Linked DNA regions of Drosophila melanogaster. The protein of the gene in region 2 interacts with the protein of the main gene of each other region in a pairwise test. Each region holds a gene or a part of one and is shown on either strand. Other genes may lie near its edges.

Region 1 (4,596 bases), on a different chromosome or scaffold from region 2:
CTATTGTGGCATCGCATCCAAGGCGAGGGGCCACACTGTTTCCAATTAGAATAAAAACACTCACCGCTCGCCTGGTCACACTGGCACTGGCGAACAGCTGTTTTCCCAATCGAAAAGCGCTTGTGTTCCAAATTTTACGTAATTCGTATTTTGAAGCCGATTTCTGCCGTGTAGCCCCAAACGCCTAGCGAAATGTCGGCCCTCCGCCAAGTGATGTGCAGAAGCACCGCCTCCCTGCAGCTGTAGGTACCCCCGCCTGGCCGGAGCAAGTGCATCCGACCTGGCAAATCTGCAGCCCTCTAATTATCCACTTTCGCATCTTGACACCGCAGGTACCAGGCCAACAGGGCAGCCGCTGCCCGCTGGGCATCCACCGCCACGGACGGCGGTCCGCTGGACCCCAAGACGGCCCTGGCCCGCCCCGAAGAGCTGGAGCAGCGCAACAAGCTGAGTGGCAAGATCACCGTGCCGACTGCCGTCAATCTCAGCCCGATCAGCGGCGTTCCGGAGGAGCACATTCGGGAGCGCCGTGTGCGCATCCATATTCCGCCCAAGAACGCAATGCAGAGCGGCACCGATAACGTGAACACCTGGCAAATCGAGTTCGACAACCGCGAGCGCTGGGAGAATCCGCTCATGGGCTGGGCCTCCAGGTGAGTAGCTGGCACGTCCACCATGCCATGGCAACCTTGGTCAACGTCTCGTGTTCCAGCGGCGACCCATTGTCCAACATGAACGTGCAGTTCGGATCCCCAGAGGAGGCCATCACGTTCTGCGAACGGAACGGATGGCGCTGGTACGTCGACGGCGCCGCGAAGCCCAAGAAGGAGCGCGTCAAGAACTACGGCATCAACTTTGCCTGGAACAAGCGCACGCGCGTCTCCACCAAGTAGACGCTCCCCGCAGCTAGCCAGGATTATAGACCACAATTATCTGATTTTTTTTTTGCTTTGTTCATTATCTGAGTACCCAAATAAACAGTCGGCTGGACTCAAATGACCACAGCACCATGTAATGGCCACCAGTTTCGCTGCCAATGGAAGCGGCACCATCACATGCCGCTCTAATGACGAGCGGTTTGGGAGCGATGCCTATTGTGCTGCTTCTCGCGTGGCTCTCGCTCCTCCCGACGCCTATCGCCATGTCGATGCCTGCTCGGACTGCGGCTTCTCTTCCGGCTGTCATCATGATGCTGGTACCAATCTCTGCGCTCGTTGCGCCAGTCCCGATGCTCTTGTCGCTGTCCTCGGTCCTTGTGCTCCTTAAAACGATCCATTTGGTCGTTATGCCGCCCTCTGTCCTCCTGGTACCGCTGCCTGTGCTGCGTTTGCTCGTTGTGCCGCCATTGGTGCTCCTGAAACCGCTCCGCTGGCTTATCGCGTCGTCCCTTGTGATCCTGTTGCCGCTCCGTTTGCGTCCTTTGCTGGGATTGCTCAACATACCGTCCGCGGTGCTCCTGTCGGTCGACTTGCTTATGATGCCGCCCGCCGTGCTCCTGTTCCCACTGCTTCTCCAGCGCCTGCATCTGCAGGCTGACTAGCTGGTGCAGCTCCTCGTTGAGCGTGGGCTTGCTCTTGCGGTGGCGCCGATGATTCTTTTGCTGACGCCGGGTTTCGCCCACCACCTCGGCGAAGGCGGTGTTGTCCTGGAACTGCGGGTGCTTCTTGGTGTGCTTTAGAACGTGCTCGTAGATGAGCAGCCGCTGACTCGCGTCGAGTCCTGCCTGCAGATCATCAAAGGAGGCAGCAGGAAGGAGGCGTCGTGCTCTTTCGGTGCCCACAATGCCCTGAATAGTCGAGTCATCGAGCTGGATGCTAAAGTCGGGATTGTTGCTGCATGACGCCGGCAATGGCAATGGCTCTAACACCTCCGATTTAGTTGCGCCGTTTTTGTCCTGTGGTCTGTGGCTACCCGCCCCCATCACCCCGCGCTCGCTCCAACCGAAGCGCTGCAGGATGACGTGGAGACGCCTCCTGCTGGCTGTCACAAAAAGACGCAGCTGTTCTCGCTTCTCGTCCACATCTTCGCCAGACATTTTTAGCCAGCGCGAAACAGAACAGAACAGAACAGCAAGTGTTGGGAAAGCCCGAAATGTGCGGCCAGTGCTGCAGAACGCAGCGTGTATTTACAGTCCTAGAAAGTTTGGAATATCTAATCTATGGTGCCATTCGGCTCCTGGAGGGGATGCGGGATGCAGGAGCTCAGCTCCAAAAGAGAACGGTGAAGGCCATGATCAGGCAGGCGGCTCCTACCCACGGCGACTTGCGCTCCCCAATCCTTGCCAGCTTCCAGAAGGTGCCCATGAATCTGCAAACAGACAGCAGACGAGTGTTGAGTGTGGTAACAATCAGTGGACTGGTCAGGGCGGGAACGGGCACCTACCCGGTCTTGTTGCGGTCTATCAAGCTGGGGAAGAGCGAGCGCAGGTAGGCACAGGTGCAGATCAGCAGCAGGATGACCGACAGCAGGCTGTGGAAGTTGAACAGGGCGCTCTGTGGAGGGAAACGGTGCTAAGTGTACGACGGAGGAGTATCGGTTAGGTGAGCGTTTCAAACCATGATTTAGCAAATCGAAATCCGTGCTTGGCGATAGAATAACAACAAGCGGTAAACTAGTGACGTGCCAGCCGCTCGGCGCAGGCGAACTGGTTCCAAAACTGGAATCTCACGTTTCGACTGATTCGATAGGTGGTTAATCAACTGTTAGAATGATAAGGAATGTTACAATGTTTAGGAGTTAATATAAGAATATATTTATATTAAATACATATTTTGGCGACCTACTTCCATTATCTGGGATGGACATTGGATAAATATTTTACAATAGAAAGTAACAAGCTCTTAGCCAAGTTCCCACAGGGAGCATAAAAACGCCATAGGAAGTATTGAAAAGTGCAAGAGTTTACAAAAGACATCGTATACAAAAAAACGTAAGCTTAATTTCGATAGTATCGGAACTTGTATTGCAATCCAACCGTGGGTCAAGTAAATGAAATAAGATAAGACTTTGTTTCAATTAACGTTGGCAGTGGAGCTTCCCCCAATTGAAATATGTGCCAATGGAATCGGGCTATTAGGTCAAGTGAATTCAATCGACTGGCGCGGAACAGCAATCGATGGGTCCACACTTATCGCACATAGTATCGCATAAACATCGACGCAGTGGGCCACCTCTAGCAATTTGTCTGCAACTTCTAATTCGCTGCGGGTATTTTTTTTGTGTTTGTTGTTACATATAATCCGATCAATTTCGATCGCCCGCTTGGCAAATCAGTGTCTTGCTGTTCCGATTGGTGAGCTTTGGCCAATTCTCGGCGAGCGTCAGTAAATCGTTCGATTTGGCTTTAAGTCCGCCCGTGCTTTTGCGTTTTCCTTGGCTCTTTTCTTCATTTTTGTGGCCCGTTTTCGTTTTCCACTTGGTATCGCGAGGGGATGAAGGAGGGGAGCAGGAGCGGAGAATCCCGACCGAGTGCATCCCCAATGTGTGTGCGTGTACGTCTGTGAATACGATGGTGCTGCCAATGCAATTGTAACTGAGCGCGCTCATAAAAATCAAAAGTATATTTAGATATACATGTACATATATATAATAATCGGATACGTTTTCTCATTGCCCCCCCTGTCGGTGTGTGTGCGTGTGTATTTAAATCAGTAATACAGTGTGTGTGTGACGAGCGCGCTGGGTTTTGTTGTTAAGTGCGAGTGAGTAAGAGAGAGGGAACACGAGCGAGACAGCAGCCGGAGCAACAGAGAGGCAAACAGGAACTGCAACAAGAAAAACAATAACATTCTGTGGCAGCAGCAGCAGCGATGACTTCCAGTCGCTGCACTGGCAAAGCGGTAAGTTCCCGACTGCAATATTAAGCTAAGCTATGATCCGCGAATCGGTTCCTTGCATGTGTATTTATGTAAGTACACACACACACCCGCACGCGCGCCAAACACACGCACTTGCGTGTATCGTTGACGTCGGCGATTACAGCACTGTTAGCTGCTAACAGCACAGTGACGGCCACTCGCATAGATCCGCGCCAAAGTTATCGGAGTGCCCCACTCGAGGGGCGGTAAATCGTGAGTGAAAAGTGTAAAATACAAACAGTATATGCTCTTTTAACCCCACCCCCAATTTTAAAGTGCTACGGTTTAAAGTGCTGCGAACCGGAGGTGAGTTGCATTATTATATCCTCTTCCAGTGCTTTCATGACACATTCACCCATGGACCTACACCCGCGAACACCAAAACACTACGCACATGCGCAGAGCGGCCACCGACACCGATAACACACCAATGCAATGCAAAAAAGTCGCGCTCTAGTGTGCGCTCTTTATTTTTGTTTTTAGTTTCGCTCCACTCTGCCTTCTGTATTCATCGGGTGCATTTATTGTTATCGGTTTCTCTTCCAGCAAAGTCGGTAATCGCTGCGTGTGCCTCGATTCGTAAACGGTAAACAAGCAATATTTTGTTTTTCATGCTGATTATCATGTTGATGAATGAAGGAGCATTTACGCAATTGTTTTGTGAATTTTCCGCTGTACACTGAAAGATTCTCTTTGTGGTTTCTCCATCTCCCTCGCTCTCTCTCGCTGGCCGATGGCC
Region 2 (6,158 bases):
ATATTTTTAAATTCCAACATTTTGCTGTGTAGCACCCTTGAACTTGTTGTGAACTCAGGCAAGGTTTTCTGGGGGCTGGAGCCTAATTTATTCACCTAGCAGTAGCTTTTTAGGAATTCTAAAATCAAGTCGCGTAATAAATGCATTGGTCTGCCTGCAGACTTGTCCCAGTCCCAATTAAAATGTGTGTCATATATGCATGAGATTTTTGGCGCCTGATTTTGGGAATACCAAATTCAACGGGCACTCCAGTGAAATGCAAATATTCTAATGCATAGAGCTTGAAAGGTGCCAGAAAGTCGGAAATATGCCTTTAATGCGCCTCGCCTCAATTTGAATGCGGTTCAACGATTGACATTGACATGTGCCAAGGCTAGCATCAGATCAACATATCTGTTATCATCGGTCGGTCTCAAGATGAATTGAAGGTATATGCCACGCAGAAAAATATTCTTGTTCATATCTGGAAACGAATATTAAAATTTCGTTCGTTAGGGATTTTAAGATTGGCAGCTTTATTAAATTTGTTTTCACAAACCAAGATTTTATCCTTTAAATATATTTCGCTGTGAAATTTCTTGAATTTTCTATTAGCCTCAACATCCCTGATAAATGGCTCGCGTTTAGCGCCATGCGGGCGCAGCATGCGAAAAATCTTCCATTTGGGTTGATTTCTCGCATTGAGGTGTTTTGTTGGTCAACGCCAAACATGTGCTTGCCACATGCCCCGTTTCGGACCCATTTTCAATACCAAACTCAAGCCTGTCCAGGCGAAGGTGTGAACTATTTGGCCTGGTGCCTTATCTACACTTAGAAAAATATTGACATAAAATGGATTTTTGAACGGTGTTAAACAAAACGGTGTTTGTTTTAAACAAAATACTTCAAAATTCGTAAAATACGATTATCGTTAAAACCCATCGTAACCATTTAAATATACCCTTTCATACCATTTACATACTTAATTATTTAAAATAGAAGAGGTTCAACATATATTTTCCGTTTTCCAAACTAGTTGACATTTTTTGCGGTGTAACTGTGATAGCTGTGTACCTTCAAAGTCCCATGTGCCAGTCTCTCTCACCTTGGTCCTACCTTCGACTTCGCTGGGCTCTCCGTTTTCCCATGAGGGAGTTCTCCTGGCCCGCTCACATATGTCGGAACTCCAACTGCGGAGCTGGGAAAACAAACAGGACTGGCGGTACTGGTTACACATGTGTGAGCTGGCCGGACCGGAGCACGTACTATGCGCGTAGGTGCGACTCCTTGGATTCCCCAGTTCTCCAGTTCCCACACATCCTGGCCGGGCCACATGATGATGTTGCTGTGCTTTTCCCGTAGCGCCAGGCGTGTCCAAATGTTTTGTTGCGGAATTCCTCAAGGCGAGGAATCTCGCACACATTACGAGTAGTCGGCGCTCGCGGAAAAAAAACACACGAGCCAAAGTTACATATGTTCTTTGGGCCATTTATTCAAGAAATTTCCATGTCGGCCGAAAAGGGATTTCCTTGTAGGCGGCGTTTTCCCACGATTTTATAACTGGGCTCGACTTCCCATCTTCCCACCGTCCATGTGTTGCTGGGAAATCGGCGTTGCCTTTGGTTTTTTGCCTTGCGGGGGAAAAGTTCTGATTTGAGTGCGCTCGAGACTTTCCAGCTAGGAGCAGGACATGTGGCCGGTAGCCAGTGCCACTCAGTACCTCACTCAGTCTAATGGCCAGAACACCGCGGTCATCTCGAGTGGACAGGTTGTAAAGTGGCCACACCCGCCGACCGGACACTTGACTCTATGCGCCGGCGCAGCATCGCAGGTAGTCATCTGGAACAGGTAAACATTTGCCAATATCTCACGCTGACCTATGACACGTGTCAGGTGTCTTTGTCGTGGATTCGGGCAAGTGTGAAACAACCTACTACCTGTTGAGGCAATAATGATTATGAATACGAATGAATTAACACGGAGAACGATAAGAGGGCCAATTGCATTTGTTCCTTCTTCCAAAACGAGCTGCAAACGGCAGCTAATTGTATTTTAATAATTATAAATCCGTGTTAAATTGTTTGAAATTTAATAAATTGGTTCCTTTGCAAAAACAGCTTAAATGGAAATACTGCAATTTTGTCCATATTTTATTGTCATCGAATTTTTCAAATGGAATATTGCTAAATCTAGCACTTATGAAAATCAAAAAGGACTACGTATTAATATACCCAGACAAGAAAAATCGGAATTTAGCTAGTTGCAGTGGCCTGCTGAGCACCCGGAAATCCAAATCCGGAAGAGTTGAAGTCACCGTATCCTTCATTGGCATCAGGCATGATATGCGGTTCACGATTTCGGAACTGTTCCGCCGCGAAACGTGTAAAAAATATGCCTAAGCCCTCGATCATTGAGAGCAGTACGCCACCGATAATTGCACTTCCAGCCATGGCCGCCGCTCCATTGCGTGAGGCCAGAATTCCACCAGTAACTGCTCCGCTCACTATCGAGTTCCAGGGATCCTCCTTTTGGCGAAAGTGGACCAGACTGCAGTCCACAATGCTGAACACTGCACCCCAGGCGGCGAAACTTCCACCTATCACCGGAGATTTGGTCTTGATGGCAGCCACACTGCCGGCGACCCTGCGTCCTAGTCCCTGTGGTGCGTTCCGGAATCCCTTGAGTCCCTGGAAGAGCCCGCCTCCAACGCAGCCCATGATAAAGGCTCCTCCGCAGTCGTCGACGATGCGATGGGGACACGGTTCCCGCGAATACTCCTCCATCTTTGCACTTTTCCACTGGCAGGATTTCCTATCACTGGCCGAAATTAAAAACTGAATTTGCTAAATTTCAAGCCTTCTGCTTATTTTCTACAAATGAGTTATATGTGACTTGGCGTCGCTCGATATGTATAAGGAAATTATGAGTTTTGTGTCTGTCAATTCCAGAGTTTGTTGTGAATTGTGCGACTAAGCTTGCTACATACCTAGTAGATTTAAAATCATGGAGAACATGTCCAGGAACTCAAATTTCAAACTACAGGTTGTAAGTAAGAAGTACTTGGTTTTGTTTGTGCCCCCACCAGACACCCATTAGCATATGAACCAGAGTCAGAGCAAACAGAGTCGCACGTGGATCGGGGATCTTTTGCCCCGAAGCTCAATGGCACAAAAAGGTTAAATAGCACAAATGTCGGACCGTAGTTAACCATAAAATTTACTGCCGCAGCTGGACAACTTCGGCTCGAGAATGGGGAGGGGACGGGGGATTGGGATTCGGATTGGGATGGGGATGGGGCCATTCGAAAGACGCAATTCGTACAAAGGCAAAGCCAGACGGTGGGAAACGGAAACAATGAGACCGATTGTCGTCGACCGATAAAGCCAAGCCGAACCAAACCAGAACTCCAGACCCAATACTATTTTATACTGCGTATGTCAAACTACTTCAGGAGGGAAGCTTACGATTGCATGCATAATTATCACGCGAGCATAATCGAAATTTTGAAACTGCCGCAACTGTGTTTGCTTAGCTCGAAAAAGGGGGAAGTCTTCGCATTCGGGCCCTCGATGGATATCTCCGCATAACAAGGTGTCAGACAGCAGTGACAAATGAAAGCGAAACCCCGATCGAAACCGAAATCGATGGGCAGGCATTTAAGTATGAGGGGACACCTGGACACACACGAAGCGCCAGTCCATTGTTCAACAGGACAAATCTCGTCAACTTGACATGTAAATCGTTAGAACGTGTTGCACTCGATTGATTGCTCTCACTCCCGAGAAGGTTATCGGGGATCATTTGACGGGAAATGGCTGCAGGATAAGACATTATATATAATTTGTAAATGTAAATACTGGGCATATTGTTTGCCACTGCTGCGGGATTTCCAATGAAATCTTCATTTCCACGGTAATTGTTGTCGCTTATAAATGATTTAGATGGGATTAGATCGATGTGGTGTTAATGTGGGCACATTATGCGAAAGGATTGGCCATTCCGTTCTAGGACGCGATCCGACCATGGGTTTCCCACGAATTCCGGAGATTCGAGCCTTACAGTTTTCTGGGAAGTCACAGGCCAAATGGAATTGGCCTACTAGCCCATTTAGTAATTTTATTAACATTATTTGTTGTTAAAATACCAACGTATTATGTGAAATTAAAAAAACTGCAGTTGTCTTTGGATACAGAACAATTTAAAACCATATTCAAAATTTTAAGAACAGCATTCTACAACTGTAAATCGAGCTCCACAATGTACGCTACAGAAATGCAGGTTTGGTAATCTATTGTGGCAATGTTTTTTAAAACAATAATGATTATGTAAACAGTAAAAACTCAAAAATTATAATATCGAACAGATATGATCTCTAAAACGGTTCCGTTTTCCATCTTCCGATCTCCGAATGCTCCGTTAGAGGCCAGTGTTTGGGCAGCTGTGATGCAACATTTTGTTATATCTTAAGGAATATGCATCTGCATAACCCACTACAAAGGGAATCCAGAACGGAACTCATTTGCCCGCTCGAAGAGAATCCCTGCACATGCCAAAACGCCAGCCAGAACAAAGGGGGCGAAACAATTGCGGTTGCATTACCCCAGCAGTCCAATTCAAATTCCGACAGCCTCCAGCCGGGCAATGAAATTCAAAAATTCAAAATCAAAGGGCAGGCCTGAGTCGACAAAGGATGTGACTCAGGTAGGACCCCGGGCCTGCCGCCAAAAAAAAAAAAGAAATGCTGAAAAATCTCGAATGGTGCACTATTGTTGTGTCCTGTGCCCTGACTGTGATTACTCGTATTCCGATGTCGATCATAAATGCGGTAGTTTAATGCACTCTAAGAAACCAGTATTTGCTTTAAGTACAAAATAAAATTCGTAGAACCGACTGACTTAAAAAAAAGTATAATGAATTTGAAATCTTAGCTTAAGAAATCTTCTAGAAATTTAATAAGCCTAGCTAAGCTCATTTTAAAGTGTCCTATTCCGTGTGTATAATATATGGGAGTAGTAATACTACTTAACACTACAATTTGTAGAAAAATACTATACTTAGATATGCAAACATTTTTATTAACTAGAATTGTTTGCAATTTTGCCATACTTTTTTGCCTGGTGTACTCGCCAAATTCCCCATCTCTGCACTCAGCATTGTACGCCCGCAGATGCAAGTCAACGTCCGAATCAAGTCTCGATTTTTTGGGCTGAGGGCAAACAGATGCACATCTTGCCAAAAACCAAAACCCAAGAGCTGAAAACGAAAAACCCAAGCCGATGGCCCAAGACGAAGACGCGCCAAAGGAGAAGAATCCTGGGCTGAGCTGCAGCTGTCAATGCCAAGCCACCAACGCGCCACCCTCGAGTTGACATTATTTCCAGCACCGATTTGTGCTGATTCCTGATTTCAAAATGCTCCTGCCTGCCCGCAGGCGCAGATGCGATATCCTCTGGGTTTCCTTGGTGCATTGTTGTTGTCCGTTCACCCGTCCGCCCGGTGCAATGATTTTTTCTTAACGGCTCCTTGTCTGCTTTGTGTTTGTGCGGGTTTTTTTTTTTTTTTGCTCTGCACAAGGAGCATCTAAGGTCCTGCCAAAAAGGTGTTGGAAATCTTGTTAATAGGGGAGTTTGTTTCATCGGCCTGACCTGGCATAACGTGGTGGGCGTCTGGCAAAGGAGATAAGATGTCCCATATATTTAGGGATAAAGTAATATAAAAAACCACTGGTTGAATGAGAAACTTCTTAGTCTGATAATTCCATTTTTCCCTAACTCAACTATATGTAATTAACTTAATCAAAATAATAACAAAATGAATTTATTGGGATATGTTTTATTATTTTTATATATATGTAGAAGAAAGTATAATTCGGTTAAGCACAAAATGGTGGCTCTCCTTTTCGGAAGCGTTTCCAAGCGGAAATCACTATAATCATTAGTGAATAATCACATTCAACCCCTGTAGTAAATTTCACCAGACAAAAAACTCTCCCTTTTTTTATGTAGTCCGTAATCACCGCAACAGAGTTAAATAATATTTACACACTTCATTTAGGAGACACGTGTAATAGGCTAAACAGAGTGTTTAGTGTGGCCAATAAGCAGGACACACGCGATGTCCCCTAATCAGCTTAGTCGCCGTAGCATAATGGAACGTTGGGGGCAGCGATGACGACAGGA
Region 3 (5,141 bases), on a different chromosome or scaffold from region 2:
TCACTTAAGATATGAAATCATTCATCATTCTTCCGTAAAGTCGTAAGGGCAGTGCTATTTGCCGACCGCCGCTGCATCTATTATTCCATATAAGTCACCTGAATCTGAATCGAATATCTCAATTCTGGTTATTACAAAACGAAACACAAATGCCAAAACAAACCAATGCAGACCGACGAGGATCAGCCGCATGCCTATATTCAGACCTTCGTATTGAAGCCGGTGGGCGGCAGTTTCTTTGTGCAGCACGATATATTCCGACTCTCGCTGCACGATGTGTAGCACCAGCGAGCCCGACCTGCCACGCCCAGTCCACAGACTCCAGCGCCCGGCTATATGTGTGTAAATCGAGATCGAGATCAGCAGCCAAACGATCAGCCAGCAGACACGAGACGAGAGCCAGTTAAAAAACGAAAGAAATCCATATCTAAGCGATAAGATAGTTCTGCTGCTTGTCGACCTTATGCCGCCCAGCCATGCCCACTCCGCCCACATATACAAAAATATTTATCCTTGGCGTCTCGTCGTCGTCCAATTTCTTCTAATTATTCTCACAGTACGTGAATGTCCAACGAAAATTAATCAAATCAAAATGTTGCGCATTTCATTTCGTGCATGGTTTTCGTTGATTTTGAGTTGGATTTGCTCTTTCTTTCGGTTGGTCGCTGGGGACCTGGAACCTCCTAATAATGCAATTTTAATGTAACACAAACAATTTCTGTAACCTCTATTGCTTTACATTTTTAACTAAACGGTTTATATTTATATTATATTTTTAGATGCTTTCAATTGATATTGCACTTATAAAAATTCTGTTTTTCATTTGTTACAAAACCAAATACCAATTGACTAGTCTTAACTTGCATATTGTTTTGTTCAATAGCTCGAAGAAGAGAACTGTAAATATCCCAAATTGTTAAGCGCACCCTAATATGCCTTAAAAAAAAAACTTTCAAATGTTGTTCAATTTTGAATGGAACTGAGGAAAGTTTTGAGAAGTTCTTATATCAGTGAATAATAATTTTGCTCGCACATTTGGTATAAAGTTTATTCTGCTCGTGAAAATGTTTTGGAGTTATGTTCAATTTATCGAGCGAGCCCTGTACAGTAAACACGCACCTTACACGATCAATCGGCTGCCAGTTGTACACCCTTTCCCTCTGACCCTGGCTTCAAACTGTGTGTACTCCATTCATATCTAACTCAATACGTTGAAATTGGTTTTTCGCACGCTTGTGTTATTGACTTTAAATGTGACTGGTTTGCCTGGCATCTGCTAACGTATTTATGATTTCATTCCTTTGCAGTGCGATGACGATCCCCCACATGCCTTCTCGCAGGTCTTTTTCCTGAAGGCCAACGCAGGCACCTTCTTTGTGGCCCACGACATCTTCCGTCTCAACATCCACAACTCTGCCTAGGAGCACTCCACTTACCTACGTATGCACACCACTCAGCACCACACATAATCGACATCCAAAGATGCCCAGCGCCAGATGATAACAACAAGCTCGGCAGTGGAACTCAGAAAAAAAAAATATAACAAAGCCAGCCAGCGGTCTCACGATTATCAGCAAATACAAAAGTTAGAAAAAGAAAAAAAAAAAAAAAACAATAAAAAAATAAGAAAATAACGCTAACTACTATTACGATGTCAACAAAATGGGCCGCCAGCTCACCTTCATTTGTGTCCCATTGTTGCCGGTACTCTCGCTTTACGATCCACGGAACCCTAGAATTATATGTTCTGCGAACACCTGGATCTCGCGATCTAATTTAGCTAGGACTATCGAATTTGGTGGTATGTGCCGTGCTACAAGCTCGTATTTCGAATTCCCGTGAAATGAGCAGGAACAGCAGGCCGGGATCATCGCCTACATAAGTTTAGAGTGATTTTCTAGACCGTTTATATTTCCAATTGAATTATTTGTACTTTAATTATGAGGATTATTTTAGATAGCCGTATTGCAAATGTATTGTGTCGAGTGTCTCGCTCTGTAAACAATTACTTGAGTACCGGGACTGCACCACACACAGTCGCAAGTATCGACTCTTGCTTTCTCATATGACTAATTGAGCGATGGCGAATTACTTTTTATTGAGAGAAAAAAAAAACACTTAAATATAAAGATAAACGTTAACAGTTTGGTTGTTTGTATGATTGGCGGAATGGCCAGTTGAACCGGAAAGATATGTATACCCTTATAAGCTATTAAATGCATACGAAAGAAGCTCCAGCGGATCTGGCCAGTGGTTTCCGTCTAAAAACTGAACGATTCACTTGTCGCGAAATGTGAACACCGCATCGAATCCGAATAGCACCCCATTGACGATGGACAGCGAGGCCTTGATGAGCGCGAGATCCCGAGTTCGGGTGCGGAAGGAGAACTCCCAGGCCTCAATGATGAACACACCGCTGGCCACGAACAAGGTGCAGCCCAGGACGCTGAAGAATATATCGATGCGCTTGTGAATGGGTGCCCGCATCAGAACGCCTGCAATTGCAAGGTATCTTAAGTAGATTTGTGTGCAAATTTCGTTTTTGGTTAACTTATTTTAGTATTTTAACTCTTAAGGACTGGCATTCCAAGGCGTACCTGCAAAGACCCCGATGACCACTATGATGTAGCCCGTGAAGGTGCCAGTGGCCAGGAACGAAGTCATTATATCGCGATCGTTGAAGCTGTAGAAGTGGAGCACCAGACACGCTACCGCAAAACCCTGGAAAAGTGAGGGGATTTTCATTTGTGGTGCTTCTTGGTGTTCTTATAATTTCCGAGTCTATCTGGTATTTCGGGTCTTTTCTTTTAATTCCCAAGTCGTTTTTTTTTTTTTTTTTTTTTTTTTTGACAAACCATTGTTTAGTAAGCATACGCGTTGCTTTTTGCATTAATTCATTAATCCTTAGAACTTGCAGTAAAATCACTTGAAAAAAAAATCCTTTACCAGTTCGAGAAACTTGACCACATTGAGGCGGCCTTTTCGCTCGCCATGAGACATTTTGTGAAACTGCTGCCGCTGACAGTCCTCGAAAATGTGGTCCAGCTTGAAAATGTACGTGTCGCAACTCAAGAAAGTTCCAAAGTTCTTCCGATTGGCCTCTTTGGAGCGTGCTCGCGACGGCAGAGCGCTGGACAAACTGATTCTGATTCGGAAATGGATGACGGATGGCAGGCAAATGCGGCTGCAGTTTGCAGTTGGGCGCAGTCGGGCCCAGCCAGCGAAATTAATTAATTACACTTAGGAAATAGGCTTTTCATTCTTGTTCCCATCCCTGTGTATCCGCCCACGTCCACCACGTCCGCCGGGCCTCTCGGTTCCATCTCTGAAGTGGAGACCGTCTGCGTTCTCCGCTGCCAGCTGCACTCGAGCCCCATCCCTTCCAGCTTGATTGAGTGGAGCATAATGTCTGTATCTGCATGCATGCTCTGTGCCGGTGGGTGGCCAGTGGACAGTGGGCAGCCGCCCAATGGACTCGGACTCATTGTGCTCGCATTGCCATTACCCCAAATTTGCTGCCTAACCTTCGGGGCCCAAGATCGGAGCTAATTCGCGGAATCGGGGCCAACGGGTCGCCAATTTTCCGATGGTAATCAAGTGGATAATGGAAAACATATCGCCGGGGAAATCACTTCCTCAAATCATGAATAATCTTATGGACTTCATGGGAATTATTAGGTTGTAAGGTTGTGTTGCAACGCTTTTCAGATATAAAAGTGGATTTGTAATGCATGGAATATATTTTTTAATATATTACAAGTACTGTACTTTTTAAGTGCAATTAAAAGCTTAGAGCAACATAAAAAGTAAGCCGAATTTTATATACCCTTCACCTATAGTAACTTAGCTACCACTAGCTTGGACGACTACAGTCGTCCTGTTTTAATAAAATGTATTTTATTTCTATTTATTTTTCCTGTATTTTTTACGAACGTTAAACTGCAAATCCCATTCCGCTCGCTCCTAGTTCAGCTAAATTATATAGTTTATATAAAATTAGATTAGTAATTACATTTCCGACCCGGCCTGTTATTGCCTTATCTAATACCTGCAATAGGTTTAATAGTTTAAGTAAATACGATTACGTGGAAATAAACAGACACGGTAAGATTTAGTTGGGTGTCAATTCTGACTAAAAATATATATCTAAGTAATATATACTTTGTTCCTGACTAAAACAATAACACTTCCTGTGTTCTATGGTCAATTTGAAAACATGCAAAATAAGTTGTTACAGCTGAACAAATCTATTTTTAATTTTTAAATTAGTTCTCTATAGAGTGTTTATGCCACATGTTGAACCTATTTATCTTAACTTAACATCAACTGCTTTATTAATTTCAAAACCTAACCATTAAAATAAATATATGTTTTTAGAATAATTTCGGCTGGTAGCAAGCAGAAGTACATATACGATTATTTATTATCAAAAGCCCAGCTTATCAGTTTGAAGGCAACTTTTGATATGATTCAACGCAGACACAGGTGCGCATTGAAACTATATTTAGACCTTCTTATCGCTTCAATGTTTTGATTAATCCGTATTTTCTGTTTCAATTTTGAAAATGCATTTTTCAAGACCTTACTACCAGAACGAAATCCAATTGAGCTTTGGCAAGCTTTTTGTTTCAGCAATTTTACGGTAATTAGCAGCAATTCCCATGCTATTGTAGTTCTATTAAAAGTTAATCGCCAGCACTTTACAGTGACAGCAAAACTAGTTATACTAGTTGCGAACTATGATCGAAAATGATACCCCACCGAGCTACATGGTTACAAGACTAAGAATTTTTCAGGTACAACTTTCACTGAAATATAGAACTCCGAAAATAATGCATTGTAAGAGAATACAAGAAAAATTATTCAGCATGTTGATAAATTCAAATTAAATAGAAGAAAACATTTTCCGAACTACCTAATCTATATAATCAATCATAAAACCCGAAACAAAATCGGAATTTAAAGAACAAGATTCACTCAAATCGATATACCCAACCTACAAGGTATCAACTGCTTCTGTTTTCAAACCCAACCCGATTGCAACCGATGTCAGTATGCAAGTGCACCTGCAGCTATCAAAATGCTTAACCCCGAACTCATGTCGCTGGAGAACCAGGTGTTCCGATGCTACCTGGGATGGT

Evidence for each region. Proteins that work in one complex are often made in the same cells at the same time.
Region 1: the proteins of Tim17b2 (region 2) and ksh interact in a two-hybrid assay, tested with the Drosophila melanogaster proteins (one large-scale study listed by BioGRID).
Region 3: the proteins of Tim17b2 (region 2) and CG15449 interact in a two-hybrid assay, tested with the Drosophila melanogaster proteins (one large-scale study listed by BioGRID).

The regions. Positions count from the first base shown.
Region 1 is NC_004354.4:19,492,345-19,496,940, forward strand, and holds ksh (kish), read right to left. Parts: upstream 2,649-4,596; 5' UTR 2,559-2,648; coding exon 2,556-2,558; intron 2,493-2,555; coding exon 2,383-2,492; intron 2,308-2,382; coding exon 2,202-2,307; 3' UTR 2,076-2,201; downstream 1-2,075. Other genes in the region: ND-18 (NADH dehydrogenase (ubiquinone) 18 kDa subunit), read left to right, coding at 193-242, 333-653, 713-893; CG12204 (uncharacterized protein), read right to left, coding at 1,064-2,035.
Region 2 is NT_033779.5:15,481,441-15,487,598, reverse strand, and holds Tim17b2 (translocase inner membrane 17), read right to left. Parts: upstream 2,871-6,158; 5' UTR 2,763-2,870; coding exon 2,232-2,762; 3' UTR 2,054-2,231; downstream 1-2,053.
Region 3 is NC_004354.4:21,037,439-21,042,579, forward strand, and holds CG15449 (uncharacterized protein), read right to left. Parts: upstream 3,168-5,141; 5' UTR 3,001-3,167; coding exon 2,947-3,000; exon of another isoform or gene 2,722-2,946; coding exon 2,598-2,721; exon of another isoform or gene 2,577-2,597; intron 2,509-2,576; exon of another isoform or gene 2,496-2,508; coding exon 2,278-2,495; 3' UTR 2,076-2,277; downstream 1-2,075. Other genes in the region: Ntf-2 (nuclear transport factor-2), read left to right, coding at 1,308-1,421.